Alligator mississippiensis: one gene and its partners. The protein of the gene in region 2 purifies or fractionates together with the protein of the main gene of each other region. This does not show direct contact. Links are inferred from orthologs where the notes say so. Each region holds a gene or a part of one and is shown on either strand. Other genes may lie near its edges.

Evidence for each region.
Region 1: the proteins of KPNB1 (region 2) and NUP214 purify together in Homo sapiens (affinity purification with mass spectrometry; 3 studies listed by BioGRID and IntAct, with this or other methods). This does not show direct contact. The link is inferred for Alligator mississippiensis from reciprocal best matches to the Homo sapiens genes KPNB1 and NUP214.
Region 3: the proteins of KPNB1 (region 2) and NUSAP1 purify together in Homo sapiens (affinity purification with mass spectrometry; 3 studies listed by BioGRID and IntAct, counting the BioPlex papers as one, with this or other methods). This does not show direct contact. The link is inferred for Alligator mississippiensis from reciprocal best matches to the Homo sapiens genes KPNB1 and NUSAP1.
Region 4: the proteins of KPNB1 (region 2) and DLGAP5 purify together in Homo sapiens (affinity purification with mass spectrometry; 4 studies listed by BioGRID and IntAct, with this or other methods). This does not show direct contact. The link is inferred for Alligator mississippiensis from reciprocal best matches to the Homo sapiens genes KPNB1 and DLGAP5.

The regions. Positions count from the first base shown.
Region 1 is NC_081835.1:59,555,828-59,563,531, forward strand, and holds the start of NUP214 (nuclear pore complex protein Nup214), read left to right. Parts: upstream 1-4,515; 5' UTR 4,516-4,581; coding exon 4,582-4,623; intron 4,624-7,648; coding exon 7,649-7,704. UniProt on the Homo sapiens protein: Part of the nuclear pore complex. Has a critical role in nucleocytoplasmic transport.
Region 2 is NC_081827.1:167,231,365-167,239,089, reverse strand, and holds the start of KPNB1 (importin subunit beta-1), read right to left. Parts: upstream 3,437-7,725; 5' UTR 3,298-3,436; coding exon 3,258-3,297; intron 2,974-3,257; coding exon 2,915-2,973; intron 1-2,914.
Region 3 is NC_081825.1:239,938,174-239,945,502, forward strand, and holds the start of NUSAP1 (nucleolar and spindle-associated protein 1), read right to left. Parts: upstream 3,298-7,329; 5' UTR 3,283-3,297; coding exon 3,061-3,282; intron 1-3,060. Other genes in the region: OIP5 (protein Mis18-beta), read left to right, coding at 3,618-3,891, 5,333-5,399. UniProt on the Homo sapiens protein: Microtubule-associated protein with the capacity to bundle and stabilize microtubules. May associate with chromosomes and promote the organization of mitotic spindle microtubules around them.
Region 4 is NC_081825.1:293,226,733-293,234,177, reverse strand, and holds the start of DLGAP5 (disks large-associated protein 5), read left to right. Parts: upstream 1-4,358; 5' UTR 4,359-4,492; intron 4,493-7,445. UniProt on the Homo sapiens protein: Potential cell cycle regulator that may play a role in carcinogenesis of cancer cells. Mitotic phosphoprotein regulated by the ubiquitin-proteasome pathway.

The DNA of each region.
Region 1 (7,704 bases), on a different chromosome or scaffold from region 2:
CAAGCTAGCTGTCCCCATGAAACAGAGAAACTCTCCAAACCACGTGTTTCAGGATGCATTGGCTCTGGGATTGAGCTGGGCTAGATCCTTGGATGTTTAGGAGCCTGGAGAGGCCTTTCCTGCTGGCTGAATCAAGGTGCAAACCCATAAGTTTCTAGATCTGCTAAAATGTCTGGCTGAAATTGGAGCATAATAGAAGCTTAAAACCTGCAGGACAGGGGAAGTCCTCCCCACATTAAGGCAAACTAAAGTCTCAGTGACTTCCACCTATATTAAGCCTGCTGAATGTGTAGGATTAAGCTTGGAGTGTGCTCTGCAAGCTGCTGGCAGGAATACACCACTGCTCTTTCTTCATACAGAAACTACAAAAGGAGCTACTTGACATGTCAAGGCATTTCTGGGTGGCTATAAGCTGAAGCTCATGCCAGAAGTGAGATAATGGGAAGAGTTGCCCCCAGATAGCAATTTTGCTGGCTGCTGACTGAAGGATGTAGACACGAATGTTGAATCTGTGAAGAAGCCGCAGAGCCAAACAAGTTTCTTGGTGGGCCCCTCTTTGCCCGGGGTGGATGCACTCGTGTGAGCCTGATGTCTCTGGAGACGATTCTACTAAGTCAACTGTTGGTTGCAAAAGGTGTTGCTGCTTCTGTCTATTGAGTTTTTAAAGGTAGACTTCCTAATATATTGGGTTTTCTAGGAGGCTCCTTGTAATGTGAATAAGCAGCTGGCCTCTGAAGTTTGGTCGTTTCCCTCGCTGCCAGTGGCCAGTTAGTTCAGTTCCATAACATCAAATCTAAATTGGCTGTTCTCTCTCACCTGAAATCTCAAGGGGCGGTGGGAAAACCAGCCCAGCTAGTCTTGCTTTGGACATTCACAGAAAACGCTGGGGATGTCCTACAGCTGCAGGAGAAAGTGAGATCAGAGGAGTCCAGTCTGAGCCCCTCGAATCCATCCAGCCTTGCTGTGGGGGAGTTTACTTTCTTTATACAGGTGGCCTCTGAACTTCTGGGATCCTACAAACAAATGCTTTTGTTTAAATGTATTACAATGGGACCATTCTCATGAGTGAAATTCAGCACATTGGAAAGGTTGTCTTGGCAGAGCTGGGACCTTTCGAGGGCAGGGAAGGACTCGTCTGATGCCAGTGTAGCTGGGACCATGCTCTGATCATTCGGGACACTGATGCGATCATTGCTTTCTATGTAAACTCTTGGAATCTGGTTGTTTGCTGCTGGGGTTTAACTGCTTACTCTGTTTCTTCTTTTATGTTCTTGGCAGCTTTTAACTTTTGTGGTTTTTAAATCCTTGTATAAATAAAAAGTCCAAATAATTGTAACTTGACTAGACATCTTGCTCCTTCCAAGGGCTGTATTTTTTTTTATGTCTTGCTATCATCTTTGTATGAAAACTTTGGAATTGTGACAGGGGGAGAGACTGCAGATGGGGGTGGCACAACTCTGCTTGTCCAGGTGGAAAAATAAACCTTCTGAAACAACTTGAAGCTTCGGCATGTCCTGTTCTTGTTTGAACCAGGGTAAAACCGAGTTCTAACCCCCACCATGTACTGACAGGAGGGTTTTGCCTACCTTCTGCCAACTCATTTTGGACCCATGCTTGTGTCCTGGGTTACAAACAGGAGGTGGAAATCCTAAATCAAAGCACATCTGTCTGAAACGCTTCTGTTACCACTACTTGTTTTCCACTGCAGGAGCAAGAAGACGTCTCGTTAGGTATGACCCCTGCCTCTACCCTGCCCCTAAGGAATAAGGGCAAAAGAAAAGTCCTTCCAGCCTAATGCAAATCACCAAAGCAGGGCCCAGGAGATGTGGGGCAGGTTTCTCAGCTGCACAGCTGCCCTTGTGCCCCAGCATGGGCAGGAGAAACAAGTAAAAGACATCTGCTACAGCCTTTCTAAAGAGCGTGTGTACTCCCCTGGGGCCAGCACTCACTTCAAGTCTTGGAGAATTAGAACCAGGAGGGCAACTGATTTACCAGTGGGAGATTTTTGTCCCCCTTGCTTCAGGTAGTTTATTGAATGTAATTTGGACATCCCGGCACTATTGTAACAAGGACTTTTATCCCTGAGCTAGAGTGAAACTAGCTTAGCTGGTACTAGCAGGTCTTTTGTACTGTCTGGACTACCTGCTATGGACTGAAATGACTGCACACTTATGCTGTGTTACAGCTGCCTCCAAATCCTCTAGTGCAAGCAGGTGGACCGAGTGAAGAGAATTTCCCCCACTGTAAAGCCTCCTTTGGATAAAGCAATTGGCTGCAAATCACACTGGGCTCTGCTTTGAGCAATTAGTTTTCTGCATCCTGAGCCCAAGGTGGTCAGAGACTTAACTCTGTGGCCGTTTACGCTGCAAGCCTAAGGGTAAGAGGCCGTCACGCCGCTAAGGTCAGCGCTAATGCAATTGTATTTGCTTACAGCAGGGGTGACGTCGGCCTCAGGTGTGGAAAAAGGCAAGTAGGATCTAACAGCTGGTGTCCTGGGGCAAGGCTGGCTAATGAGATTGCACAGGCAGCGCTGCTGCGTTTGCCCTTCACATGCTCTTGCGTGTGCTTCTCTGCTCCATTTAAACACTACAGCACATCGCAGCAGAGCATTGGCTGACTTCAAAGGGCTACAATAAAACCACAGCAGGCTACAAATGATGCCTGGTGCCAATGATGGGAATGCCTTGGGCCAGGGGAGCATAAATTGGACTGAAATAATTCAGCTAAAAACAGCATGTCGGTAGTGGCTGACAGGGCTAGATCACCGGCCTTCTCAGTAGTAGCAGTGGGGACAGGTACACAGCCCTGCCAAGCCCCTATTGCACCATTAAAAGGGTAGTGTCCTCCCTTCTATTTGTGCTGGGAGCTGGAAGTGGGTGGCTGGGGCACTGTCCCCTGAACGGGCACAGCCAGGTCCTGGAGAGCTGCTGGGTACGTAACAGGACTCCAGGAGCTGGCGCCTTAAGATTATCCCCAGCGCAATCATTCTGAAACTTTGACCATTGCTCCTGTCCCTGTTTTGGCTTTGAGTTGTACTGAATAATCAGTGCCATGCCCCTAGTGGCCCCCATCACCAAGCGGGGCTCATAGCTCTACGTGTTGAGCTTTGGCCCATGTTCCCAAATGGTACATCAAAAGGCCTGTGTCACACGCAGGGCCCCCAGGGACTGCGGGGTCGTTTCCCTGTCCCTCCTCCATTCACGTCTCACCAGGCAGTGTCCGCCAGCTCCTTGAACACGTTCGAAAGCCAGCAGGCAATATCCGCTGTGCTGTGCTCGGCGTCCCGTCTTGGCACACTCTTTTCGGACCTTTGACCATTGTTCTCATCCCTGTTTTACCTTTCTTTTGTCCCAAGAAATTAGTTGTTACTTTCTCAGCAGCCTCCTGTCCTAAGGAAGTCTTCTTGTTCTTGGTGGGGAAGAGCCCACGATCCCTTGGAAGTAACAAATAAGCCTGTTTCACGCGGTGGCAAAGAACAAATGCTGAAAGGAAGCAGGAACTGAGTCTGGCCAGGAGTTTTTCCCTATTGTCCCTCTCTCTCTTGCAGCCTTCAGCATTTCAGTGCTTAGGAAGCTCCTTCAGAGGCCGCGGCCCACACTCCCAGGCTCAACAGCGGCTCTCCAAGAACGGGTCCAGGCCCTTGGCTGAATCTGGCTGGACGGTCAGCTCCCTGCGCTAGTGACCCTCTGGGTGCAAAACAACGTCCTGACGTTCATTTTACACTGACCACCTGCTTGTTTCATGCTCTGGGCTGGTGGGAGAGACTCGGCGCTCAATGCTGGCTGACTTCCTCTCCGCCATCTGGGGTGGCGTGCATCCCTCTTGTCCCCCCCCTCCCCAAACAAGTGTTTCTCTTCCCAACCGATGAGGCCGGGCTTTCGCCTCTCTCTGCGTGGGAGCCCCTAATCCCCCTGGTTGCCCTTGTGTGGCCATCTCTAGTTCCTCTCTGTCCTACGGGGGCAACCGGGCACGGCAGCCCAGGGCTGGGGGCACCAGGGGCTTGTCAACGGGGCTCATAAGCAGGGATCCTGGTTTTCTCGGATTTAAAAAAATCCCCAATTTTCGGTTTAAAAAGAAAGAACCCCAAATCCACATTTTTCTGTGATTAAACCGAAACACCGTGTGTGTGTGTCTCTATATCTATAGATAAATCTATCTAGATCTATATAGATAGGTATACAGATAGATTTGTAGCTATAGATACATCGATCCGTATCTATAGATAGATTAATAGATAGGTATAGTGGTGTTTCATTTTAATCATGGGAAAATGTGCATTTGGGGTTACATTTTTTTAAACCGAAAATTGGGGGGGGTTTAATCCGAGAAAACCAGCACCCATGCTCGCAAAATTTATGGGTAGGCCCCGCCCCTACCCTGAAGCCCCGCCCCTTCTTGCAGCCCTCTCCCCTCCCCACCCCGTTCTCTAGTCCTCCCGCCCTCAGCTACCATCGAGCGGCGCGGCTAGAGCGGCCTCCGGCTGGGCCGGAAGCGGAAGTAGCCGGACAGTGTCAGTGGAGTGCGTAGCGCGCGGCGGCGGCGGTGGCGGCGGCGGCGGCGGCTCGGCCGGGCCTGGTCACCATGGGCGACGACATGGACGTGATCCCTGAGCGCGACATGAAGGTGGGGGAGGGGGCAGAGCCTCGAGGGGCCCTCTGGGGTGCGCGGCGCTGCACAGCCTGAGCCCCAGGAGTCTGCGGTGGGGGAGGGGCAGGTGGGGGGTGCTGGGGGAGGATCAAGGCCCCCCTCGGGGGTGCTGGGGGGATTAAAGCCCCCCTTGGGGGTGGTGGCTGCTGCAGGTGTAAAGGGGAAGGTGGCTCCCTCCGGCAGCACGGCACCAGCGGCTCGTGGCCACATCGCCCTGTTCAGATTGGTCCCAATGGTGCTGAGGGGGAGGGGGTTATCTTCCTCTGTAGCAGGGGGCTAAACATTTCGTATCAGATGCCTGCCTCAAATTGTTCGAATAAGACGGCAGGCCAGGGCGGCGAACGTGGAAGTGTTAAATGTTGCTGGTCTGTCATTCGTGAGAACGTTGACAAGTAAGACACGACTCGGGTGGCTTGGTCATGTCAAGAGAATACCGGATCGCAGGATCCTGACGACCGTGCTGTACTCTGAAGCTCGCGCAGGGTCTAGAGAGAGGCGGCAGGCGCTGCACGGGTTTCGCGATGCTTGCAAAGGAGACTCGGCATCTTTTGGCACCTCCGTGGCTGATTGGGAAGGCAGTGCGGAGTGCTGCTCTGGTTGGCGGACTCAGCTTGCAGATGAGCGAGGCGCTGCGGGGTTGACCAGATCAAGTTTTGCGACGACCAGCGTCAGAGGAGGAAAGAATCTGCTCGGATTCAGAGCATCGCTAGCGCGTGGGTGGCGTGCCCTGTCTGTGGGCCCTGTCACGTGCGTTGGATTCAGCAGCCATCAGAGAACTCATCAGCGCGTACGCCATGCTCTGTAAAGAGCAATGGTGCTAATTGAGTGATTGTAGCAGGGGTTGTGGCCTCCACCCCAGATCCCTTGGGCATATATTGGCAACCTTTCATAGAAGTGGGACATTGGCTGCCTTGGTTTCCCTGCTTTATCAGTGCCAGGTTTGGGTGCTAGGTCTGTGTTGGCTCAGGATTGATGGTCTTACGTAGAGTTTGGGTGATGGATGATAGAGGATGGTTTGGATAGGGGTTGGGCCTGCCTCAGGTAGAGGTTGGACTGGATGAGCTCTGGAGGACCCGCCCAGCCGGACTCCTCTGTGGTTCTATGACATTTCCAAGCCCCCCCCCAAGCCAGGTGATATGGCCCCCTGTGTGGGACATGACCCAGGGTTTGGCCCCCAGCCCCACATACCCTGGGTTCAGCCCCCAGACTAGGGATGAAAGGTTGGGTACAGCTGCTGCAGAGAAAAAGCCTTGTTTCACCTGAACAACCCTCAAGAGGGATTTTGGCACCAAGCAGAAAGGCCTGTCTTGAGCTCTGGTCGTGCAATTTCATAAGAAAGGAGTTTTGCCTCCTTTCCATCGCTTATTTCCTGTGTGAAGTGTGCGGCCCTTATCCTTGTAGGTGATTCCTGGGAAAGTCCAGTCTTTCCATGCCCGTTGGAACCTCTGGAGCAGATCGTTACAAAGGGTTTGGCCTTGGCTCTCTTGGAAATTCAAGCATTTTGTGGTGGTTGACCTATTTGCGATGTATTCCGGTGGTTCTTCATTTGAGAAAGTGAGGAACAGCACTTCTGTTGGCATAAAATGAAAATGGTCAAAGGTCAGGCTGAGAGCGCCTTTACAAAGGATGTTAAAGAACAGAAGATTAATTTTAACTTCCTAAAAATAGGAACAAGGGAGGAATGGGAGCTGCTTTACAGTAAGGCTGGGGTAGAAATTAAAGGTAACCTAGATGTGGCCTAATACTTAAATGAGTATTTCAGTATTCGTGTAAGATGTTGGTACAGAGCCTATTATGTTCCTGTTGTATTATGTGGGTCAGAGACTTTGGGTTTTAATAAAGAGGGATTTCTGCAGGCTGTAGCAATAAATAAAGGTATGTATTGGGAGCTTGAGATCAGACTGAGTGAGTGCTAAGGAGCATGTTAAATCAGCAGAGTTGAAGACATGGGTAGAAAGACAAGAGCTGGTGTAGTTGAAGCAAACAGGAGAGAATGCAGGAGGACAGGATACTTCATGGCATGATGAAGGTGCATACTGAGGGCAAGAGGCAAAGGGAAAGACTGGAAAAACCTGGAAGGGCATTTTGACTAGATGGTGTCAGGGAAGAAAGTATGTATATAAGATAGCAGGCAGCGGAGAAGAAGTGGAAGGAGATATATTACCAGACCCAGGGCAAATTTCATGCACTCAACGGAAATTTGTGTGTATTTTGTCCTTATACAATGGGAGCGCATCTTTTGGAGATGATGGAGGAGGAGGAGGAGTGTCTGCATATACTAGTAAGTTGTAGGCTGACTGAGGCTTCTTCAGTGTGATGCAGCCATGAAAAAGGCAGCACAGTCCTAGGAACTATCAGGAGGATTTCCAATAGGAGGAAGTACTGGCATTAATGCCGTAGCACAAAGCCCTGGTACCTCATTGGAAATATTGTGTGGTTTTTCTGGTTGTTCAGATTAAAGAAACCAAGGTTTCAAACTTGGACAGATGCAGAGGAGAGCTACTAGGTTGACTGGAGAATAGGGAGTCTGTGTTGAGAGGAGACAAAAAAAAAAAGCTTGGTTTGTTCAGCTTAGTGAAGCAAAGGCTGAGTAGGAAATGATCACTTTTTTTAAATACATCCAGGGAGGGGAAAAGAGCTGTTTAAGCTAAAGGGCAGCATTGGCATGAAATCAAATGGGTATAAACTAGTTGTGATTATATTTAGTTTAGAAATTAGGCTTGTGACCATTGGAACAGTTAGCTTCTGGAACAGCCATCCTGTAGGTGTGGTGGGGGAAATATTTCTAAAAAAAAAAATTTAAGATGAAGCCAGGTGTATTTATGGAAGGGATGCTATGATGCAGTTGCTCGAATAGCAGGGGGCTGGATTCAGTGATGCTCTTGTAAATCCCATGTTTCTAATTGAGCGACTGTGTTTGGATAAAAGTATGTTTTAATCTGGTTGGTTTCTCCCTTCTCCCTGTCACTTTGAGTCACTGCTTAATTCTTTTGCACAACAGGATTTTCAGTTCAGAGCGCTGAAGAAAGTCCGAATTTTTGATGCTCCTGACGAGCT
Region 2 (7,725 bases):
AAATCTGTATCATCCAAATCTTGACCCTGAGGGAAGCACCCAAGCTGTAGTTCCACACTGAAACTTTAAAAAGCTGACATTAGTCAGTTCTTATACAATAAAAAAAAATATTTCTGCAAGAATAAATTTACCTTACAATTTCCCTGATGTCCAAGTTAGTTATGTACAGATATTTTTGTATTATCTATATAAATACCTGATTTTTTACTTTGTGGTTTTGATAATGACTAATGAAAAACACTCATGAATTAAGACCATTTGCAATTTGGCAGCTTTGCATTTTTATAGTCTTTTGCTTTGTATGAGGTATGGAGAACAAGCTGCAGCAGTGAAGTGCCCATGCCAGAAGTGACCTAGTCTAAGACCTTGTCTACACTAGGAAAAAAAAAAAAAAAAAAACACAAACCCAAAGAAGCTGGGTACACCTGCATTAATGTCAATACAATATAGCTGGACATAGGAGTTGAAGGAAGACTTGCATCGGCTGTCTGCTCTAAACCCAAATGCAACCAATTCCTAAAAATTGAACAGTTGCACTCAAATGTTAGAAACCTGTACAAATTTCCCAGTAGACAGAATGGAAAACTCTGGTAGTAGCTAGGAACGACTGTAAGCAGCATGTAACAGAAGACCATAGATTTATATATGACCTTTGTGAATATATCACCTGACAGAATTGTAAGGAGGCTATCAAATAGTCTGTTTAGACACCTGAAATACAGTGTTTGCAAATAAAGTTTGGGTCCATCAATATAAGCTCGATTAAGCCTTACAAAAACATCCAAAAAGCATATTGGCCTAAAACAAAAATCTCCCTCATTCACCTTTTACCATAATGAGAAAAGTAATTTTACTCATCCCCAAAGAACTTTTATTATAAAGTCAGAAAGAAGGAATTTTGCCAGACTAGATTGTGGAAGCTGATGAAAAAAAAATGTGACAATGGCAAGGGTCACAACCCCCAAGGAGACACTGGGCTCAACTCTCAAAATTCCATTCTGAATTTGATGCGGAGGAACTCTGGGACATACAGCTGAAAAGCAGGAGCAGCTTGTATTCGCCATTACTTTATTTTCTGCCTGCTTCCTGCAACTATTTATTTAACAAGAACTACGTAAGTAGCTGTTTTATTCTGGGTCCAAACATCAGCAGTTCTATCTGTAATTTAGATAGACTAATTTCAAAATCCTTCTAGATTACATTTGGATTTGGGTCTGCAACGTACATGCTCTCACAGCCTCTATACATAACCAAGCTCTGCCAAAAGTATTGGCTAATGCTCTAGAATGTATGCAGGAAAAAATTGCAAGAACTGACTGGGACACATTTTCATCAGCTGCACCAGTAAAATTTCTCAGCTACAGTTGGGTTCCACAGTTACAGTGGAGGGCTATGATTTACTAAACAGCTAGCCATAGAACAGGAACTAAAGAGAAAGATATTAAACATAAAAAATATTCCAATTATGCTTCAGAAGGGTTCCATGATCACTAAAAACATGGAGTTGCATAACAGATATCTCAGTTTAGTCTGGAGAAGAGACAACTGAGGAGGGATTTGATAACAGTCTTCAGCTACCTGAAGGGGGGGAAAGGGTCCCAAAGAGCATGGAGCTAGACTGTTCTCAAACAAGGAGCAATTGTCCCAAGTTGCAGCAAAGGAAGTTCTTCCCAATACCTCACCTAAACTGTCTCAATAGAAGGGCAGTAAAGCACTAGAACAGGCTACAACAGAGAGGTGGTGGAATCTCCATCCCTGGAGGTTTTTAAGACTTGAGCAGACAAAGCTTTGGCTGGCATGATCTAGTTGGGTATGGTCCTGCTTTGAGCAGGGGGCTGGACTAGATGACCTCCTGAGGTCCCTTCCAACCCTCATTTTCTATGATTTCAGAATTTCTTGTCCATTGACACCGGTGAAGTGGAAAGCACATATATGTCCACATAAAGAAAAACACCCACATTTTGCTTCCAATCTGAAAGAAAAATAGGTGACCAACAGCAACAAGCCACACACCCCTGTACCCTTTCACTGAACTGCCATAATGACAAACAGCTTATTTGGCTGCTCACAGGAGAACCTTACACATTGCAGCCCCATCCATCCTTGATTTTAGTGCACTCATGTGCAGGGGCTGCCATGTGTTTTAACAGGTCAACACGAGACAGCCTTTTGCAGGCCTGAGGGTGTGAGCTCTGCTCCCCGCCACCCTAACTTCCTTAAGAAAATACACTTCAGACACAGACCCTCCCCCAACCCAGGGTGAAGCTCTCTCTGCTTCTCCGAACTCCAGGCCAGATCAGACAAAGGGGGAGGGAGGCATAGCCCAGAAGACAGGGAATGATGATGAAAAGCAGAAAGGGGGTATCAAAAGGGGAAGAGGATGAGAAAAAAAGGACCCAGCCCCAGTGAGTGAGGAAAAAGAGAATGAGAAACAAATGGAGCAAATGAAAAGAAGAAGAGGTGCAAGTGATGGCCAGAGGCAAAAAAAAGTCAGTCAGCAAAGAAACAGAGGAGCACCCTGCACCCAGCCTCGCAAAGCAGCATGAGGGGATGTGGAAGAGGGAGATGGGTCCCCAGCACAGGAAGGGAGCAAGACCCCAGGGGGCAGGCAGGACTTGCCCTATGGTGGCAGTGGGGGCAGGACGGGGGGTAGGGAGCCACCCCCCGCCCCAGCCCGGGCTCCCCACATGTCCCGCAGGCCCCATTCTCCCCCCTCCCGCCGCACACACAGCACCACGCAGCCTAACACCCTCCCCCTCGGGCCGGATGCGCGCTGCGATTGGCCGCCGGGTCTCCCGGGCGCGTCGCCATTGGCCGGCCGCCGCCCCGGCTGGAGCCGGCGAGGTAGGCTGCACCCTTTATGGCGGCCCGGCCCGGCCTGGCAGTACGGCCCCAGCCCGGCCGCCCCGCTCACCAGGTTCTCGATGGCCGCCTGCTCCAGGAACTTCTGCGCCGCCTCCAACTCGGAGCGGTCTGCGGGGAAGGGACAGGCCGCATCAGGCGCCGCAGCTCCCGGCCCGGGCCGGCCCGCCGTCTTCACCTCGCCCGCCCCTGCCCTGCCCTGCCCTGCCCTGCCCACGGGCCCCGCGCGGGGAAAAACTACGTCCCCGCGGCGCCGCGACACGCCCGCCCCACCCGCCCAGGCCCGCACCGCCTGCGGCCGCGCCGCGCCCCACCCGCCCGCCCGGGCTCCTGCCCGCGGCCCCGCGCCCCCTCAGCCGCGCCCGCCGCCGCCGCCTGGCCCTGCCCTGCCCTACCCGGCGAGACCGTCTTCTCCAGGATGGTGATGAGCTCCATGGCGGCGGCGGAGGCTCCGGCGCGGCGCGGCGGTGGGGCGGGGCCCGCTCCTCTCTCGGCTCCTGCGGCGCGGGGACCCGGGCGGCGGCGGCGGCAGCTGCTCGAGGCGACTGTGGCGGCGGCGGAAGGAGAAAGGGGCGGGTGGGAGCGCGGCTCGGCGAGGCGGAGCGGAGGGATATGAGCCGCTGCCCGCCGCCCCGCTGCCGGGGGCTCATTGGCTGCCCGCGCCCGCCACGCGCCGAGCTGATTGGCCGCCCGGCCGCCGCGGCGCATGCGTGTCGGCGGGCCGCCGCCGGGTTCCGGCGCCGCGCGCTGATTGGTCGCCGCCGCGCCCGGGCGCCCAAGAGAAGTGGCGGCAAGCGGGGGGTGTGGGAGCCGCGTGCGCGCTCTGCGTCATGACTTCCCCTCCCCCACCGCGTGCAGCGCCGGGCTGCCGCAGCGGTCCTTGCAGGGTGCAGCCGGGGGCCCCGCTGCGCCGCGGGCAGCTCGCAGCTGGTTTCGGAAGAGGGGGCGCTCAGCCCGCAAGGGTTCGGGGGGGTTGGGTCTCCTGGAAGGGGGGAATCTCCGGGAGGGGGTCTTCTTCCTTGTGGGGAGGCTGGAGCAGGAGGCTGAGAAGCGCTGCTCGGGGGCTGCAGCTCCTGAGCTGAAGGCGGCCGCTGCTCGGGGGAGCTCCGACCCAGCGGGGGAGTGGGGCCCCCGGAGAGGCGAGGCTCCATCGCAGCTGTCACAAAGCGCTTCCCTTGGAAGGATGAAGCCCACCACCAAGGGCTGCGCTAAAGGTAACGTATTTGCCCCTGCGATTGTGGTGGGGTGGGGTGGGATGGTGGCAAGGAGGCTTTAAGATCTCCCCATCCTCTCTTCTCCTGTGAAGGTGCTGCAGCCTCCATGTGCCTACCCAAGAAGAGATGAGAAGGATGCGAGTGCTGCAGAAAACAGCTTTCCTCCAGCCCCAGCTGTGGCTCTTCCTCATCAAACAGCGTGTGTAAGGGGCACTGGGCTCGCACAGAAATCTGCTATATTGGGCACACCTGATGTCAAAGAGTTGTTCCGTGTGCATGATTTGGGTGGTACAAGATCCTGGGGTGCCTTTGGAAAGGGCTGGGAATTACCTGAACATCCCCTTCCTCACTGAAATTCAGTGGCATCCAAAGCTCAGGAGGTGCTCCAGGGCTAGCACTTTCAACACATTTTTATATGCATTGGTTAACTAAATACTCTCCTAGCTACTGTATTAGTGCCCTTAACTCTAACATGACAACAACTATAAGGATATTAAGCATGATCCTATGTCAAGTCATACTAGTTCTTACCTACTTCTACCTGAACAGCATCCCTTGTCCGTAATAGCATCGCAGCCCGTGTTCTCTTCACTTCTGTAACAGTGTCAAATTCTTTTGGTCAGCCCATTGGAGGCAGAGAGCCCAGGAGGCAATAGGAAGCCCACAAATGGTACATGGGGGGAGGAGGAGAATCCCCTTGATGGGCTGGGATTAAATGACACTACAACTAGCACTAGAAATAATCCACACCTGGTAGCACTTAAAACTGACGTTTGTCGGGTATGAATGGTCAGCAGCCCAAGCTACAACTGAACCAGCTCTGACTTTTGAAGCAGAACGTGAAGGTAGTTGACTGCTCTTTTGTCACTGACTGCAGTTCTGTAGAACCCACCACAGTAAGAATGAAAATCTTCACAAAGACTGGAAATAAATATGGTGCAGCGTCCTGCTGGTGAAGAAGGCCGTAGAGAATGTTTTCTATCTGGTTGAATTTCTAGAGGCTGATTCATCTGAGATATACTAGTAAGGGAAGGCAGAAATCAAAGCCTGAAATTGGTGTCCTGTAAGCTTTTGGGGGGGGGGGCAAACATTGTCCTGTTCTGGACAGTGCCCAACACAACGTGCCCTGTGATTTGGCTTCCAAGGTGCTCCATACTACATATCAATAGGGACTAATCTATGCACTGTTTTTGTACTGGGAAAATGTATTCCAGGTAGTAGTGTGAGACCTTTTATTTTCAATGGAAAGAGTAGCAGTCCAATCCCTAGTGTAGACAAAGGATGGCAAAAGATCCCTTCTTTCTGTGGCAGGGGTGTCAAACTCATTTGCTCCTGTGTCCCCTGCCGCCGCCCCCCCAACCCCTGCAGCAGGGTAAGCAGGAATGGCAATAACCCCTATGGGTGCTTAAGCCACTGTTTGTTCAGGGAGCCCTGGGGCATAACACTTCTTTTGTTGCAGCAGCAGCTTACGTATGGCAAACAAGTCCCCAGTGAAGCTCTATACCCCAGAATTCAGTGGCAGAGAGATGGATTTCAAATTCACCCCTGTGGGTGCCTGAACTACTGTCAGTTAAGGGGGCTGTAGAGGTTAATGTTGCTATTACTTGTCCCATCCTTAAATCTCCAGCCCCTCTGGGGGACTGTGGGCCATATGTTTGACACCCTTGCCACAGGAGGAACTGCCATAACATATAACCACATGACATTTCATGGATGTGAACATACATGTCCCTTTAACTACCAGGATAGTTAAAGCAATACAACTTTCACATGTGGACAATACCTGAGTCAAACTCCTGAGATGCACTGATGCTAAATAAAGTCTTGCAGAAAAGGAGAACAAGGAACAAAGGTGCAGCTGCATAATTAAACCAAGGTGAAGAGGGTGTCTCAGCGGTTTGTGCTGTAGGAGGAAGAGTAATTAGTAACACAATCAGGCTCTATTGTATTAAATATGAATGCCATGGGGAGAAGGGGTGAGTAGCCAGATATAGTCAACCTGATTCTCTCAGGCAACAGGTACCCATAGGCTGATAACAGGGAGGGATGAGAGGGGCCCCATTTTTCAGACGGAAGTAGGAAAGTCCTGTCTGTCTGCAGATATGCATGAGACTGTTTGAGCAGAGGTGTCCCATCTCATTCTGCCTTCAGAGAAACAGTTCATGTCTCTCTAACTCATCCTTGTTTCTGCTGACATATGGCTTCCCTGGCACTTTAGAAACCACTCACCATTGAAATGTAGCTGCCTCTGAGGAGGAAGCCAGCTACAGGAGGGAGAGGAAAGTTTAACTGAGGACACTAGCAGAAAATCCTCCTCTTGATATAAAAGGTGCCAGGAGCTCAACACCCAGCAGCCAGATATTACCTTAGACAACCTTCCTCTTCAAGTTCTAGGCACAGTGAATGCCATGGAACTCCATTTATCTCTGAGAAGCTCCTAACCCTGCCAAGAGATGAACCAGTGGAGGAATGGAGTATAAATTTTTAAAACCTGTAAGGTTCCAACTTTGTCATCCTTTCAAGCCATGAAGCCCCTCATAACACTCCATGTTGGAGAAACTGAGACACATCAAGATCATATGGTGTCTGAGTGGTAGGGCCAGAAATAGAGCCCAGGAGTCCTGGCTCCTAGTACTTTATCCACAGATACTGCTCCCTTCCCCTCCTACCCTGCTAAGTGCCTTAGCCTGGAGGGAAGAGTATGCTCTTCTAAGGCAAGAAAGAAGGATGTACAAATATGGAACAGGAACCTGTCCCTAGGGAGGTGGGTGAGTATTAACCCTGCTTTATAATCGGGAAGTTGGTCCAAGGTCAGGCAGAGGTGAAAATGGAATGCAGGTGTCCTTGCTCTTCACCCTGGTTTACAGGTGGAGACTAGCAAAATGACACATCTAAGGTGATGCAGCTAGGCAGTGGGAGAGCTGAGGATGGAGCCTAGGGGTCCTGGCTCTGCCTGGTTTTTCAGCCTCTCCTCATTTTTTAGCTATGCTCACCAGCTGTACATAATAATAACTAGCACTTTTCAGAGCAGAGGACTTCAGTCATCTCCTGTATGTGGAAAAGGAAGCAGAGGCACAGAGAGGGAAAACAAACTGCCTAAGGTTAACCAGACAGCCAGTAGCCCAGCTAGGAATAGAGCCCAGATCTCCTGAATCCCAGTCCTGTCCTCTGCAAAGAGTGTGAACTTCCCTGTGGGTGATGAATATTCCCTGTGATGCACACATCCTGCTGTATAGCTAGACTCACTGATGGAGGCCATTGCTGAGGGTACAGCTGCTTAATCTGCTGTGCATGTGTTAGGTCTAGATTCTCTTACTTGGTTCACTGACTGCTTGAGTGAATCATCCAAAGGTAGAGCAGGACTAGAAAATGTGCTTGGTGCCTGGAGTCACCGTGCTGGAGTTAGAAGAGAGGCTACTTCCCCACCTTCAACTGGATGTGGGGACCTTTCCTTCCTGTGTTAAACTATCATGCTGTGTTGCTGTGCAGCTGTTAACTGCTTCCCAAGTTCTGTCCCAGAGAGGGATGTGATTTCCTGTTAGGCAAGCAATCCCTGTGCTGCTGTGCCAATGCCAAATGATTCCTATGTTCCCCCCCAGAGCAGGTCACACTTTGCTGGGTAAGTGATTTTTGTTGCATGGCTACTAAA
Region 3 (7,329 bases), on a different chromosome or scaffold from region 2:
CAGATATAGTGCACAGGCCCAGTCTGGAGGGGCACTGCAGGAAGCATGTGCTACAGATTGGCCCCATGTGCTCTGCCTGCATTCAGTCCAACCCCACACACCACATGCAGCACATGCTGGCCCTGGTCCAGGGTTCATACTGCAAGCAAGCCCAGCATGGGGCATGTACTGCATGTGGTGCCCATTCTGGACCAGCCCTACACACTGGCTCCAGCATACAGGGATGGTCTGTAGGTCCAATCCAGACTAGCCCAGAGCTAGTGCCCAGGGCTGGTCTTCTGTGGGAACTGCATGCAACATGTACCCAAGACTGACCCCCTGTGCTACATGAGGCACTGGGGCTAGTGTGTGCCACATGTGGTATGTGGGGATTGGCCCAAGACCCACAGACCAGATCATAGAGCTCCACAGGTCAGATTCAGCCCATTGACTGTTTAAATTAGTGGGGGGGGGGGGGGGGGTCAAAGATTCAAAGACACGTTCAGGCATGGGAGATGGCATGAGATGGAAAGTCTGATGGTTATTTATTTGAGATGAGGGCTACAGCTTTATAACAAACTAGCCAATTACCGGTCACAAATGACCGGGGAGAGGGGGCTGGGATGGTGTCCCACCACCTAACGCCCCATGCTGCCGCAGTTCTGCCTCTTGCAAGGAGCAGGGTGGGGGCCTCAGCTCCCCACCCTCTGTCCAGTCCTCTGCCTGGCTTTGGAATCACAGCGGTGCTCCCCCACGCTTGGAGCACTCCGATTGACTGTTTCTGTCAGCCAATCACAGCGTGAATAAAGCGTTACCGACAGACTTAGGCTTTTATATTAGAATATTTGCCATCATAGTTATATCAATAGGAGGAGGATGACATGTGAAAAACATTGCTTGCAAAAGCCAGGTGCATCTCTACCCTGCCTTCTGCCTGACTTCAGGCTAATGGGCTAACAGCCTCTCAGAAGTCGCTGGCGCAGAAGCAGTTATTCATTGTTCATTTTCAAAATTGTTCGTTTGCTGGTATATCTTATTTTCATTTGGTCAGGGAACATTCCTTTGCTAAACCCACATACTGAGTATAATACTGATCTTAGCCTAACAGCCAAGAAGCAGCCTTTGACACTATGCGACTCAGTCATAGGAGCCACATAAGCAGTCACTGTTGACTAGAGAGCTGTAAAATAAGCACCTTTAGGTAAACTGCAACAAGGACACTCCAGTTCAAAATCAATTTCAGTGAAGAGCCAGCATGGGTATCACTGGACTTGTACATCTGTTCTGGCAAAGCTCTAACTGTAAACCTGCTCCCAGCCAGAGGCTTATTCTCAGGGAACCTTAGGTTACCACCATGAGATAGTAGAACACACGGTAGACATGCACATTAACTGCTTTAAAATTGCTTCCCTAATTGTTCTGTCTAATAAATAAACAGTAAGTCTCTTTTGAGCAGCTTTGACTCCCTGTAAACAGCACTAATAGCAGATTCCCAAAAAGAAGACAGGGCAGGGTGACACCTTAGAGACTAAGCGATTCAGAGGCTTTTGTAGGAGGCATGGAAAATACTTAATAAGATGCTATGAATAGACTGCTGGATGCCAGTTATGTCTTCTCAAACACAGACCACATCCCCACTGGACCAAACATAATGAATTATAACATCTGGGGTTTATTCCTCTATTCTTCCACCAACAACTTACATACCATCACCAGCTTACAGTGCTTACATCAGCCAGATAAAGGCAATTCCTAGGCAAAAGAATGAACAGACATCTAGCCCAGAAACTTAATGAAAGCTGGTGGCCAAACACCTCAGCCTCCTCTGACACCTCACGACTGGCCCGAGGAGCTCTTCTTAAAACAACATTTTAAATTCCCACTTCAACATAATAATTGCAGCACAAGAAGTCAGCGGCAGGCAGGACTACCTCAGCCACTGTCTCAAAGGGGACTGGCGTTTCTTATCCCATTACCTGAACTGGCTGCTTCCTCTGGTGTCCCTCCAGCTGGGAGTGAGCTGCCTCCATCTCCAGGGAGCCAATCCATCGGCTGTCAGCTTCTCTGGGCAGCCCCCCTCTCCTCACCTTTCTATTTAAATACATCTTGCTTGTGTGTCATGGAATAGTACCCTGAACATTTATGTAATATTGCTCAAACTCTACTGCCTCTTCCCTGGCACACCTGGCTTGCAGATAGAAAGCACAGTAAGAAACAACAAATCCCAATAGGCCCAATGCCAGAGCTTCTTAAAGGCACAGTTATCCAGTTTCAGGGATACAGGCTGTAGCCTATTGGTCTCTATGCTGGCAAAAGGAATTATAACTCATGGCAGACTTTTGTTAGACCAACTAGATATTTGCAAAAAATTTTTTTACTGAAACCTGAAAGCTGACACCCTGGTTTCTGCCTATTGTTGTTCCAGATAAATCTGCATCTTCACAGAGCTCAAAGCTGCCTCGGCACAAGATCTATGAATCTAAGAGAAATTCCTTGCCCAGGAGACCAGTCCATCACCGCCCTCCTGTGAGAGATGAAATGTCATCACTGGAAGGAAACATAATTCAACATCCTGCTTGACTCCAGACAGCACCGAGATAAAATGGGCTGTTCTAACTTCCACCTAAGCCTAATTTGCCAAAATTAACTATTCCAGCCAGGAGATCTTGCACCACCTTCTGCTCTCCTGCGAAATACGAATTTTCATTTCCACCGCGGAGAAACTTTACAACCTTTTCCCTCTCCTATGAGAATAAAGACAGATGCTTGCAAATATCTAAAAGAGACCACCTCTGCCAAGAGTTCCGACCCCAGTTCTCCGCCGTGTACTTGCACCCATAGCTTTCCTGCCGCCGCGCCTGAGACCCAGGAGACAGCTCCCGCCTCTTGGGACTCGGCTCGAGGTGACCCCGGGCTCCCGCAGCAAGGACCTGCGGGCGCACCGCCGGCGAAGGAGGACCGCGGCGCACACCGGGGCTGAGCACTCGACGAGGCACCGGGGCCCGGCCCCGCGCTACTACCGCCCCGGCACCTACGAGGCAGGAACACCTCCCAGCTCCCCTCCCGGGGCCCCGCTCCCACCTTGAGATTAGCGCGGAGTCCAGCGACCTTGGCCACCTGTTGCAGCTCACAATACTTGAGCGACTCCAACGGGCGCAGGGAGAGCGGCTCCATGATGGCGACGGCCCGGTCCGAGCCGCACTGAATAATCCCTACGCCGCGCGTCAACCGTCCGCTTTGAATCCGGCGCTCAACAGCCCGTCCCCGCCCCCCGTTCGAACTGGCGCTGTCCGGCTCTCCCATTGGCAGAACTGCCACGAGAGGCGGGTGCCTTAGGCAAAGCTCCGACCAATGGGGCTCCGGCGGCGCGGGTTTGTTTTTTTTCGAACGGCCTGGACTGAAAGCCCCGCCCGGCGCTACATCCTCACGATCTGATTGGACAGCAGGATGACGACAGTAGAGGAGGACTCCCTCAGGCAAGCGGCGTGGGCGTGCGGAGACAGTAAGAGAGAGAGGGAGGAGTGAGGGGAGAGATTGAGGTGTGTGGCTGCCAATGCGAGTGCAGGGCTGGGAGGCAGGCACCCAATCGAGGGAGGGGAGGTGCATTCGAACGCGCGGCAGGAGCCGGGTGCGAGAAGATGGCGGTGCGGCGGAGGCTGCTGCAGCAGTTCTTCCAGGACCCTGAGATCGACGGTGCCATCATGGTGGAGCGGCCGGCGGCGGCGGCCCCCGCGGGCAGCGCGCGGAAGGCAGCGGCGGAGGCGAGCACCGGGGCGGCGGCTCTGCGGCGGCGCCGGTTGCGGCCGCAGGACTGCGCCGTGTTCCAGTGTCGGGGCTGCTACGCCGTGCTGAGCGACTCGCTACACCTGTGCGCTCAGGAGGAGCGGCGCCTCCGCGTCCTCGCCTGCTTCAGTGAGTGCCGGCGGGGCGAGGGCCCGAGCCCGGGCCCGGCCTCGGAGCCCATTGCCTGCCTCCTAGCGAAGCTCGGACTGTCCGGGGCACTGGGCTGTGCTCGCTGCGGGGCCGCCGGGCTGAGCGCTCCGGGACAACGACACTCCCCCTGGGATCTCGCGGATGGGTGAGCAGGCGGGCGCACCTGGCCCTGCGCCCGCTGTCGGGGCCTGCCTGGGACAAGCCAGGCTCATCCGTGCTAGTTGGCACGCAGGCTTCCTGTCAGGGATTGCCCTGATGAGTCAAGCCCCCTCTGGGACCTCTCCGCTGTCTTCAGCCTGAGCCCCCGGGATCCCAGGGTAAACTGCTTTGTCCCAGAGTAAACCTCTCCTCTGGTTTTAGCCTGCCCCAGGCTGGTGGCAGGTGCCTGGTGCCCCACAGTATGGTACAGGTGTATCCAGGTGGGAGTTAGCTGCTTCCTGGTAGCCCCCCTCCTCCTCTGCAGCAAGGCAGAGCCCATGAGCATCTAGGTCTCTCCTTCAGGGAAGAGAGAGCTTCAACAGATGCACTCCTCTTTTTACCAGGGACTCACAGCGGTTACTATGGAGCTGGTGTGCCTCAGCTGTGCCCTGCTAGTTGAGTCTGTGGTCTTAGCTTTCCCATGCACCCCTCCCAGGCAGGCACAGCTCCAGTTCTTATTTCACCATCTCAAAGTCTGTCTCAGCTGCCCAGTGATTTTATGCAGTGCAGTTATACAACAGCTGCGGGGGTTGGAAAGTCCTGCGCATCTTTATCCTGGTCCAGGTTGCCTTGTATGTCCATGTCCTTTAGGCGTAGGGCACTTTTTTGCTCTGTTTCTTTAAAAACGGAGCTATCCAGCTTCTTGATGCCATAGATTTTGTTGGCAAACAAGCCCCACTGGCCCCAGGAGGCTATTTTGGCTGCCTGGTATGGCTGCTCCCTGGGTGAGGATGTCAACCACAGGCTACTGTATGAAAAAGGTGATCACATCTGGAAGTGGCTCCAGCTGCTGTGCTATGTGCTGAATGCAATGCTGACAGCGTGAGAGAGGCACGCTGGGCCTGTCTGCTGGATTCACAAATTGGGTATCCCCGGTGGCTGTAGGCTTATGTTGGGTACCAGACTGGCACTTCTATCATTGCGTAGTAGTAGACTTTTGGGCACCTCAGTAGGTGTGGAGAGGTTTTGTGGACTGTGCTCTTAGGCCTGGGCTTTTGAAGTGCATCTTAAGGCTTCTTGGATCTGGCCATAACTTTCTCCTAAATCAACAGATGTTAGAAACATGGAGATGGATCAGTATGTTTCCATTAAAACAAAGATTAAACAAATGTGACTCCTCCCAAGCCTATATACAGGAAGTCCAGAACTCAGTTATCTTAAGGGGAAATGGAAATTTTAATGAATGATCTGTGGTATATGACTCTGGATTTGTCTTTCTCAGAAGTTACAGAAGATGTTGTTCTAGAAGATTCCTTAAGAGTTGGTATTGACGGGTCCCTCCTAGGATGGTAGGTATTTCAAATACTGTTTCTTGGTTTTGATACCAGTTTTCTGTTTGAGATGCTGACCTAGTAGAGCAGGTGAGGGTTATTGTGGTGCCTCTGACTTCAAACAAGTCATCTGGAGAAACATTTTTAAAATCACTAGCTTACTCTTGGATGGGCTTACAAAACTGACAAATACTTAGTTTGGTTTCGGACCTGCCTACTGTAGTCTCTTACTGAAAAAAGCCTTTGCAAATCTACAGCATACGTTCCATTCCTTTCTTCCCCTTTCACATGCATCTAGACATTTGCTATATTTGAAGTAGGGAGAACATTTGAACAATTCTAATATAATAAAAGCGTCTGTCTGTCACACTCCAGGACAACTGCGCATGCACTGAGAGGGCACGCATCAATTGGCTGGGAGGGTCTGGAGTGTTACGGACAGGGAGCGAGGTAGCTGCCGCAGTACCCCGGCCAACAACAGCCTGTGGGGGGTAGGTGGCAGGGAAGAGGGTTGGGGGGAGGTTTCCAGTGGCAGCTGGCAATTTGCTAGCTGTAAAAAGAAACGGTATCTCCCCCATCCCCCACAAAGTCTGGGGGGTTGTGTGTGATGGGGAGAGGGAGAGAGCGTATGTTTTGGTTCTGATACCTTTTTTTGTGCTGAAAGTGAACAACTATTTATGAATCAATTGGTATAAGCAAGTCTCTAGACCAGGGGTCAGCAACCCCCGGCATGCGTGCTGAGCATGGCACATGAGGCTATTTTGCTCAGCACGCCACATCAGCTCCGTACCAACGCGTGCACCCACGTGTCGGAGCGGGTGGTGGGGTGGAACCTGAGGCAGCGCAGCCCCAGTTTCTCGCCTGCTCCTGGCACAGAGGTGATAGCAGGGTTCCAGAGCCCGGCGCAGCTGTTTGCAGCCAGCCTGGGCTCTGGGCAGCTGCAGCAAGCAGGGGGCAGGCTGCAAACAGCTGCACCAGGCTCCATAGCTCCAGCATCAGCTCTGTGCTGGCGGTGACTGCACGGGCACCTTGGGCAGGCTCTGCTGCCCCACTGTCTGCTCTGAGTGCGCATGCACTCACCACCAGGATGGAGCTGATGCTGGAGCTGTGGAGCCCAGCTCAGATGTTTGTACCCTGCCAGCTGCTTGCTGCAGCTGCACAGGGTAGGAGGGCTGGGGGGCAGGGGCTTTGGAGGGGGCACAGAACTGGGGGGCAGGGGGGGCAAGGGGCACAAACAGGGCATTCTATGTACCCCTTGCCCTCATTTTGTTTTTCTGGCATGCCAGCACTCTGGCACCTTGCAAGGTAGGCATTGTGGTGTTTTTCGGCGCTTTGGCCAAAAAACATTGCCTACCCCTGCTCTAGACGATTAGTTCTCAGCCTTTTTAGACTCAAGGCACCCCTCCATGACTGTTATGAATTAAGCAGTGCTCCACTTCAAAACTAATTTATCACAGTTCTTACTTCCTTGCAGAGGGAATAGTAGTGGGAATGGAGGCTTTGCCAGGGAGGGAAAAGTCAGGGTACATTTTCACCTTGTAGACCAGAGAGGGAGACCCTGAGCCACGGGACCCTGGCTGAAAATCATTATTCTAGACAGCAGTGTTTCTGCACTACCAGTTCTGGAGTGAAAGGAAGGACATAATTTCAAGTTATTCAAAGCTCTGCAGAAAAGGAGATAATTGGCAAAGGCCTACATGCTCTATATACTTTTTTTTTTTTTTTTAATTAGATTTTATGTGATAAGAAATTGAGCTTGACTGGGATTGCTGCTTTTAAAGATGGGTGGCATACATTTCTGTTGTCTGCAAGCTTGGAGAGACTGCATAGGTTAAGTATTGTATTTAATTCATATTTGGACAGCTTTTTTAAATTACAAGGACTAAGAACTCTTAAACAAAAGTTGTATTCTGCAAAAGATGAGGGTGCTATTATAAGAAAGTTTCCT
Region 4 (7,445 bases), on a different chromosome or scaffold from region 2:
TTACCCAAGTTATATAAATTAAAGCTAACATGGATGTAGAGAATCTTGAGAGGGTTCAGAGGAGGCCACTTGTGTGGTCAGAGGCCTGCAGGCAAGGCCCTACGAGGAGAGACGGAGGGACCTGGATCTCTTCAGCCTTCACAAGAGAAGGCTGAGAGGTGATCTTGTGGCTGCCTATAAATTCATCAGGGGAGGGCAGCAGGGACTAGATTTACTAGGGCACCCCCTGGAGTAACTAAGAACAATGGCCACAAATAGATGGACAGCAGATTTAGGTTGGACATTTGAAAGAACTTCTTTGTAGTAAGGGTTGCCAGAATCTGGAATGGCTTTCCAAGGGAGGTGATGCTCTCCCCTGCCCTGGGGGTCTTCAAGGGACTGGACAAGCACCTGGCTGGGATTGTCTGACCTCAGCGCTCTTTCTTGCCCAGGGCAGGGGTTTGGACTCAATGGCCTACTGAAGTCCCTTCTGACCATAACATCTATGAATCTATGGTAAGTCCTGGAGTCATGCCTCCTGAATGCAGTGTAGACATGCTTTTACTGAAATTTAACATGTTGGGTTTTCAGCATGAACACTGGGGGGGGGAGGGAGAGAGGGGGAAACTGTCTAATACAAAAGGAAGGGAGACCTCAGCCTATAAAAGAGCAATGATTTTGGAAGGAGAAAACACTTAAACCCACCTCCATCAGCTTATGATGGCCCAAATTCACTTAAATGTAGCCCAGAGTCATCAGGTGGAATTTTCCTGTAAGTCTAAGCACCTAATTCACTGGTCATGTTGTTGGCTGGCCCCCAGTATGAGGATGACAGTCTGCTAGTAAATAGGGAAGTCATCAGTGAGCCGGTGGATGATTGAGGAGGCTGATCTGAGATCCACATGTTCCACTGGAGACATGGCAAATTGTTCCGGGAGGAGATCCTGGTCATGTCAGGTCATGGGTTTTCCTTTTGTCTCTCTCATCTATCTGCCTCCACAATGAAGTGAGTTTGCTCAAAATAACTGATGCCTCGATGTACATTGTAGCACCCCTGGGGATGATTCAGTGTTTGAGTCTCCCAGGTATTGATGTTAATATCACATCTCTTCTGATTGGCCTTAAAAGTGTCCTTGGATTTCTTCTTTTGCCCATCTCTAGATGATTGATGAGTTGGGAGTATAGGATCTGTTTGGGGAGCCAGTTGACAGATATCCTTATGACATGCCCTGTCCAGCAGAGCTGGTGCTGTATAAACATGGCTTCAGTGCTTGTAGTGTATGAACCAGAGCACTGGTGTTCATACTGTCTTTGGACATCTGATTTTGACTGGAGTGCTGCTTTTCGAAATCTCCAAAATTATGTGTGACAATTATGACATCAGAACCCAAACCAAACTGCTCATCTTAAAGGCTGGTATCATCTCTACTCTGTTGCATGGGTGTGACATTTGGATGACATATTGGAAACACTTGAAAGCTCTGGAACATGACCATCAGCAATGTCTTTGGAAAATCCTCTATATTAATTGTAAGGACATAAAGTGGTCAGGTAAACAGTGATGCAAGGTGCAGAGGAAGTGTAAGTGGCCAATTGCCAGAACTTGTATCCATTTTCCAACTTTCGGTGACACTGGTGTGCACAGTGATGTCACTTCCGGTGTAGGAATCAAAATTCTGCAGTGCGGTGGTGGTACAGTTCCCATCCTCAGCTCAGAATAAAGCTGGTCGTGACCATACATCCAAGGTCCTGACCTCGCAACACACTCCATACTCAGTGAATGTACACAAGGCACTGAATGCTTTCAGCTTTCATTGCATTGGGAAGGAAGATGTACTCAGGATCTCTTGCATTTGGACTCTGTGGCCATGTCTTTGTGCCACTGCTAGCTATCCCTGGGGAATGCCTGTGCCACATGCTCTCTGGCACGTGGCAGGTTACCCCAGGTGGGGTTGGGGAGGCTGGGGCCATCACAATTGCTGGCCCCAGCAACTTTATCTGGGGGCCAGGGAAGCTACAGCCACGTTTGTCCTGCAGCTTGGAGCCTAGCCAGCAGCTGGAGCATAGCTCTGGCTGGCCAGGCTCTAGTTTTGGGCAGTGTGTGCTGTCCCTGCCTGCGTGCACTGCCCTGCTTTTTTTCTGCCTGGTTTTTTTTGACCCCTGGATCAACACCCCCCCATCCTTCAGGGTAGCAGCACAGGAAATGCCTGAATGTGCAGTCTGTGCCACCACAGACAGGTCTGCAGCACCACATACTGCACGGCCACTCTCATCTGGATCCAGCCTGTGGGTCAAATACTTCACTAGCATGAACTGGTATAGCTCCATTTTTTTCACTGGATCTGTACCAGTTTGCACCTGATGGGAACTTGACCTTGTGGTTGTCTAGCAAAAGGCAGACAGGGCAAACTAACTTGCTCACTGTCATATGGTAAGTCAGTGACTCTTCTTGGGTTAATCAGGATGTCCCTAGTTCCCAGGGTTTTGCTGTAACCACTAGCGGCTTATATGGCCATCTGTGCAGGTTGAAATGTTGTGGGATGCTCTACATTTTGAAATGAGGAAGACGAATCTAAAATGATTCAGCATAATCTTTTCTGCGGGAAATAACTCTTTGCCTAAGCGCACCAACCGGTCTCTAATCCATTTATTGCTGTCCCCATTCACTGCACCCATGTGCAGCTAAAAATGTCCTATTCCATTATAAAAACAAATGTTGTTTAGTATCCCCCCAGAATTTCCTTCTGTGTTCCTGTGGCTTGAAAGCTGGATTTATAAAACACAATGTCACCTTCTTTGCTATCCTATAAGAAACATTTTTACACTGACTGCAATATATGGTGCTTCTCAGATTATCCGTACGTTTTATGCTTTTCAGCTGTATCGTATTTTGCACTATTCTTTTTTTCAATCCATTGTCTACACCTACATTTTTACAGTGCCACCAAGCGGCTGAGGTTTGCACTGATGCTTTCGGATTTTAATGTTGTGTAGATCAGTGGTTCGCAACCTTTTTTGTACCGGGTCCCATTTGTAAACATCAATAGCCAGTCCCAACCCAGTGCCCCTCACTCCCAATCCGCTGCCCCCAGGTCCCAGCCCCCCAGCATGTGGGATAAAGGAAGGGTGTATGTGGGGCATGGGGACCCCCAAGCAGCTCCTCTGGCAGGGACTCTGCCATCCTGCAAGGGAAAAGCCAATTTTCCCCACGTTTTTCTCCTTTTAAAGGAGAATCCATGTTTAAACTGTGTTTGTGACCCTTTCATCTATTCTTGCGACCCATTTTGGGGTCATGACCCACAGGTTGAAAAACGCTGGTGTAGATTGTCTTTCTTTTGTCCAGCTACTCTTTCCATGTGTACAAACCATGTCAAGTACGAACCATGAACTATTAGTTTCTCCAGCATATAGCTGCAGACATTAAGAAATGGGAGATGATATATAGGAGGGACGTGAGAACAGGAATGCAGGACAGATGATAGGCTATGGGTAGGGTTTTTCCAATGAGTTTGGCGAAATGTAGGGCCCTACTGAGCACTTCTGAAAATCCATTTATAAAAAGATATGCTGTATTTACTTACAAGTTCAAGCACAGCTCTGTATTCTTGGCCTTATTCTATACAAAATGGCAAAAATCAGAGTTTACAGATTATTTTCTCAGTTGTTGCTAGTGCTTATTTCTGTTAGCATCTATAAGCCCTTGTCCTAGACTGAAACTTCACTGAACACGCACAAAAAAAATGAACATTTTTGTTTCAGAAAGTTTACCATCGACGTGCAACACACGGGACAATTGATGAATACCCACCTTACCCAAGACAGCAACGAGATGCTGCGGGTCAGCTGCCAGGTAGTGGTTCAACACACGATCAGCATTACTGTGATCCCGGTGTTGTGGATGTTGGAAACAGGGGACGGTAAGGAAGGAAAATGCCTTTGTTTTCACAGGTGGCACAGAACGGGTCCCATCGCTGTGTGAGGCCGGTCCCCTTCCACCCTTGTTCTGGGGCACCGGGGAGCTGCCTCGCTCAGGGGGACTCACACCCCGGCTGCAGATTACAAATGGCAAGACTCCTTACGCCCATTTCACAGACGGGAGCCGAGTGACAGAGGAAGCGGCCCAACCCGAGGGCGGACACACGCCCCCAGGAGCGGTCACAGTAAGACCCCCTACTCCGGGGGGGGGGGGGGGGTCTTGGCGCTGCACCCAGGACGAGCACCACGGAGCCCGCGACCGACCAATCACAGCGCTGCCCCCGCTGTCGTCATGCGCCCGCGGTTCCGTAACGGAGACGGTGGGCGGCCAATGAGAGCGCGGGGCGGCTCCTTGTCGGGAGTCGATAGGAAGGGCGGGGAGGGCTGGGCGCCCAATGAGCGGGCCCGACCGGCTCCCCGCGGGCCAATGAGCGGCCGCAGAGCTGGCTTGGCTCGGCCAATGAGCGGTTTCGGGGGAGATTTGAAAGCGAGGCGGAGCGGGCGGCTGCGGGTGTCTCGGGGGCTCCGGCCGCTGCGGGTGAGCGCGGGCTCGGGCGGTGAAGGGAGTGGGGGAGGGGCGGAGGGGAAAGGAAGAGGGGGAGTGGGGGGAGGTGTAGGGGGGCAGTATATGGCACCCCCCCTGGCAGGGGGCCGGGTCTGTCCCAGAGGTGGCTCCACTCCGCTCTGTTTCCTGCCCCGCGCGAGGCCAGCCCGTCTGTGCCCCTCCCTCAGCTCCCTTGGGGGCAGAAGTGGCCAGGCCCACGTCGTGTGCACCCAGGGCTGGCAGCAGCCTGAGGCTGAAGTGGCTCTTTGCTGCCAGTCCCTGGGGGTGGGTTTTGCCCCCTCGTGCCCGCTCCTGTTTCAGGCCTGCATACTCGATGTGTGATGTGCTGTGACTTTCTCATTAGCAAATACAGTTTTTTGGATGAAATGCTGACTCCTTCTTTCGCCGGTTGACTGGGACTAAGGTGCGCAGGTTCAGGAGCCAGCGTGTGCCCGGGTGGCAGCAGGAGGAAGGTGCGGGAGCCGCGGCAGCCCAGGCAGGACGGGAGAGGCAAGGCTGTCCGAGGGCAGTGCCTTTCAGCTTGCGGTCGTCAATCCCCTTGACTGTGTCTAAGGCAGGGGTTGGCTGTTTTTGGGCAGCGCCAACAACCCCTGCAGCCTCGATTTGTAGGATGTTGATGTGCCGGGGGAGGATGGTGGGGGAGCCGCGAGGGGCCTGATCCTTGTGAAGGCGCAGCCCCAGCTTATTCCCCCCTGTCCACCGTGAAGCGAGCGTGCCAAGCGAAACGCCTTCGTTTGCTATGCTCTGGCACCTGTGCTGGGGGCTGCCTCCCCCTAATCTATGGGGGCCACCAAAGATGACTGATCAATCAGAAGTATGTGAGTACACTTACACTTCAGAGGGGTCTGCACCTCCATTTTTGGGGTCTGTAAATAAAAAAAGGTTGAAAACCACTGTCCCAGGGGGATCGGTATTTATTTTATCTTGTGTGCATTGTTAGTTACTTTGGTTTTTTATTCTTTGATCTTTGATTGGACTAGCTGTGCTGTAGAGTTAGGCCAGCTTTCGCATGCAAGAGACCTGATGAAGGAAGGACATCTTTTGTTGGAAAGCTCCTACTGTACAGTTGGTCCAATCAAAGCTATTTCCCTAAGACATCCTTGCCTCGTATCCTGATTATGGCTCACTACAACCTAACAAATGTTGCTGTTGATCTCCCTGTGCTCTGCAAGTTATAACTATCCTCTCCCTTCTCAATGGTCTCTTCTGCCACTTACTATCTTGCCCATTCTCCTGCCCTTTTGTTCACAGTGCTCCTCCATCTCTCTAAGCAGACTGTTTGTATTAACACAGACACCTCTGTCTCCTAGTTAGCTCAGCCTGTGTCTTCCTCTTTCTTAGACCTGAGGAAGGCCAATTAATGCCCCAAAAGCTTGTCCACCAGCTCTCCCAACCATAATTGATCCAATAAAAACTATTCCAAACAATCCTTGCCTCTCAAAATGAGAAGGGAACGTTACAGTCTGTGGAAGGAAAGGAGAGTCACTAAGGATGTATACCAAGGAATAGGAAGATCAAGAATGTAATGGTGAAAAAAATCTACCTATCTGTCTATCAAATCTGGCAAGGGATGTGACTGACAAGAAGAAGGTATTCTCAAAATATTTTATATAGAAAGGAAATACTTGGGAAACTGGATCCACTGCTCAATAGTGAGCCCCTAATAAAGGATGTGAAGAAGGCAGAGTTGTTCAGTGACTACTGAGTCTGTCTCAAAAAAATAAGCTGTGACCAGACTGCTAACAATTTAATATAAACAAAGAAGAGGAAAGGCTGCAGTTCATGAAAAAATAGAGGTATAAAAGCTCTTTTGACCAATTTGAAGGAATTTAAGCTAGTATGACTTGACAAAATTCATCTCAGGGTGCTGAAGAAATGTCAGAGCTACTGATAATAGTATCTGTGTAGCCATGCATGACAGGTGAAGTCCCAGGGAATGGGAGAAGAGCTAACTAAAAAGGAGGACCTGGAGAATTATAGACTGGTCAGCCTGAAGTTAATCCTGGGAAGGTACTAAAGCAAACTATAGGACTGTCAGCAGGTAAGCACTTGGGAGAGGAAGGTGCAGTCAGTAGCAGCCAGTGTGGATTTGTGAACCTTGCCAAACCAAGGTCCTGATTAGTGTAACTAGTTCAGTGGATCAAGGGACTGCAGTGCGCTTTAGTAAGACATGATATGATCCCACTTGGCATTCTCAACAGTAGAAATGTGGACTAGATAAAATTACTGTTGTGTGACTATGTAATTGGTTGAATAACACAAGCAGAATGTAACTTTGTCGATTGAGGTCAAAGTGGCAGGTTTCAGATGAGGAGCCACTGAATCCAGTGTTAACATTTTTACTAATGACTTAAATGCAGGAATACAGAGCTTCTGCATGAAGTTTGCAGGTGAGAAAATACTGAGAGGGGCTGTGAACACATTGGGGGAGTAGAATTGTAGTGGAATTCAGAAGAATCTCCATAAATTGAAGAATTATGCACAGGGTGACTATGGAATTCAGCAGAGACCAGTGTAAGGCCCTACCTAGGGAAGAACTAAATGCAAAAATATGGAATGAGAGCTAATTGGTTAGGCAGGAGCATCGCTGAGAAGGATCTGTGAGTTTTGGTGGATCACAGTCTCAACATAAGTTAGCAATGTGATGCAGTCAGGAGAAAGCAAATGCTGTTTTGCGCTGTATTGCCAGAAGTATTGTATACAAGACATGAAAGGTGATAGTATCACCTGCGTGGTGCTGCTTAGGCCTCATCTGGAGCATTGCTTACAGTGCTGGGCTCCACATTCTTTATAGAAATGAGAGGATCCAGAGGCAAGCAGTAGAGGTTGTAAAGGGGTTAGAATGGAAACCATATAAGGAAAGGTTGAGAAAATTAGTTAGGTTTAATTTGGTGAAATGGAGATGAAGGGAGGGACATGATGGCAG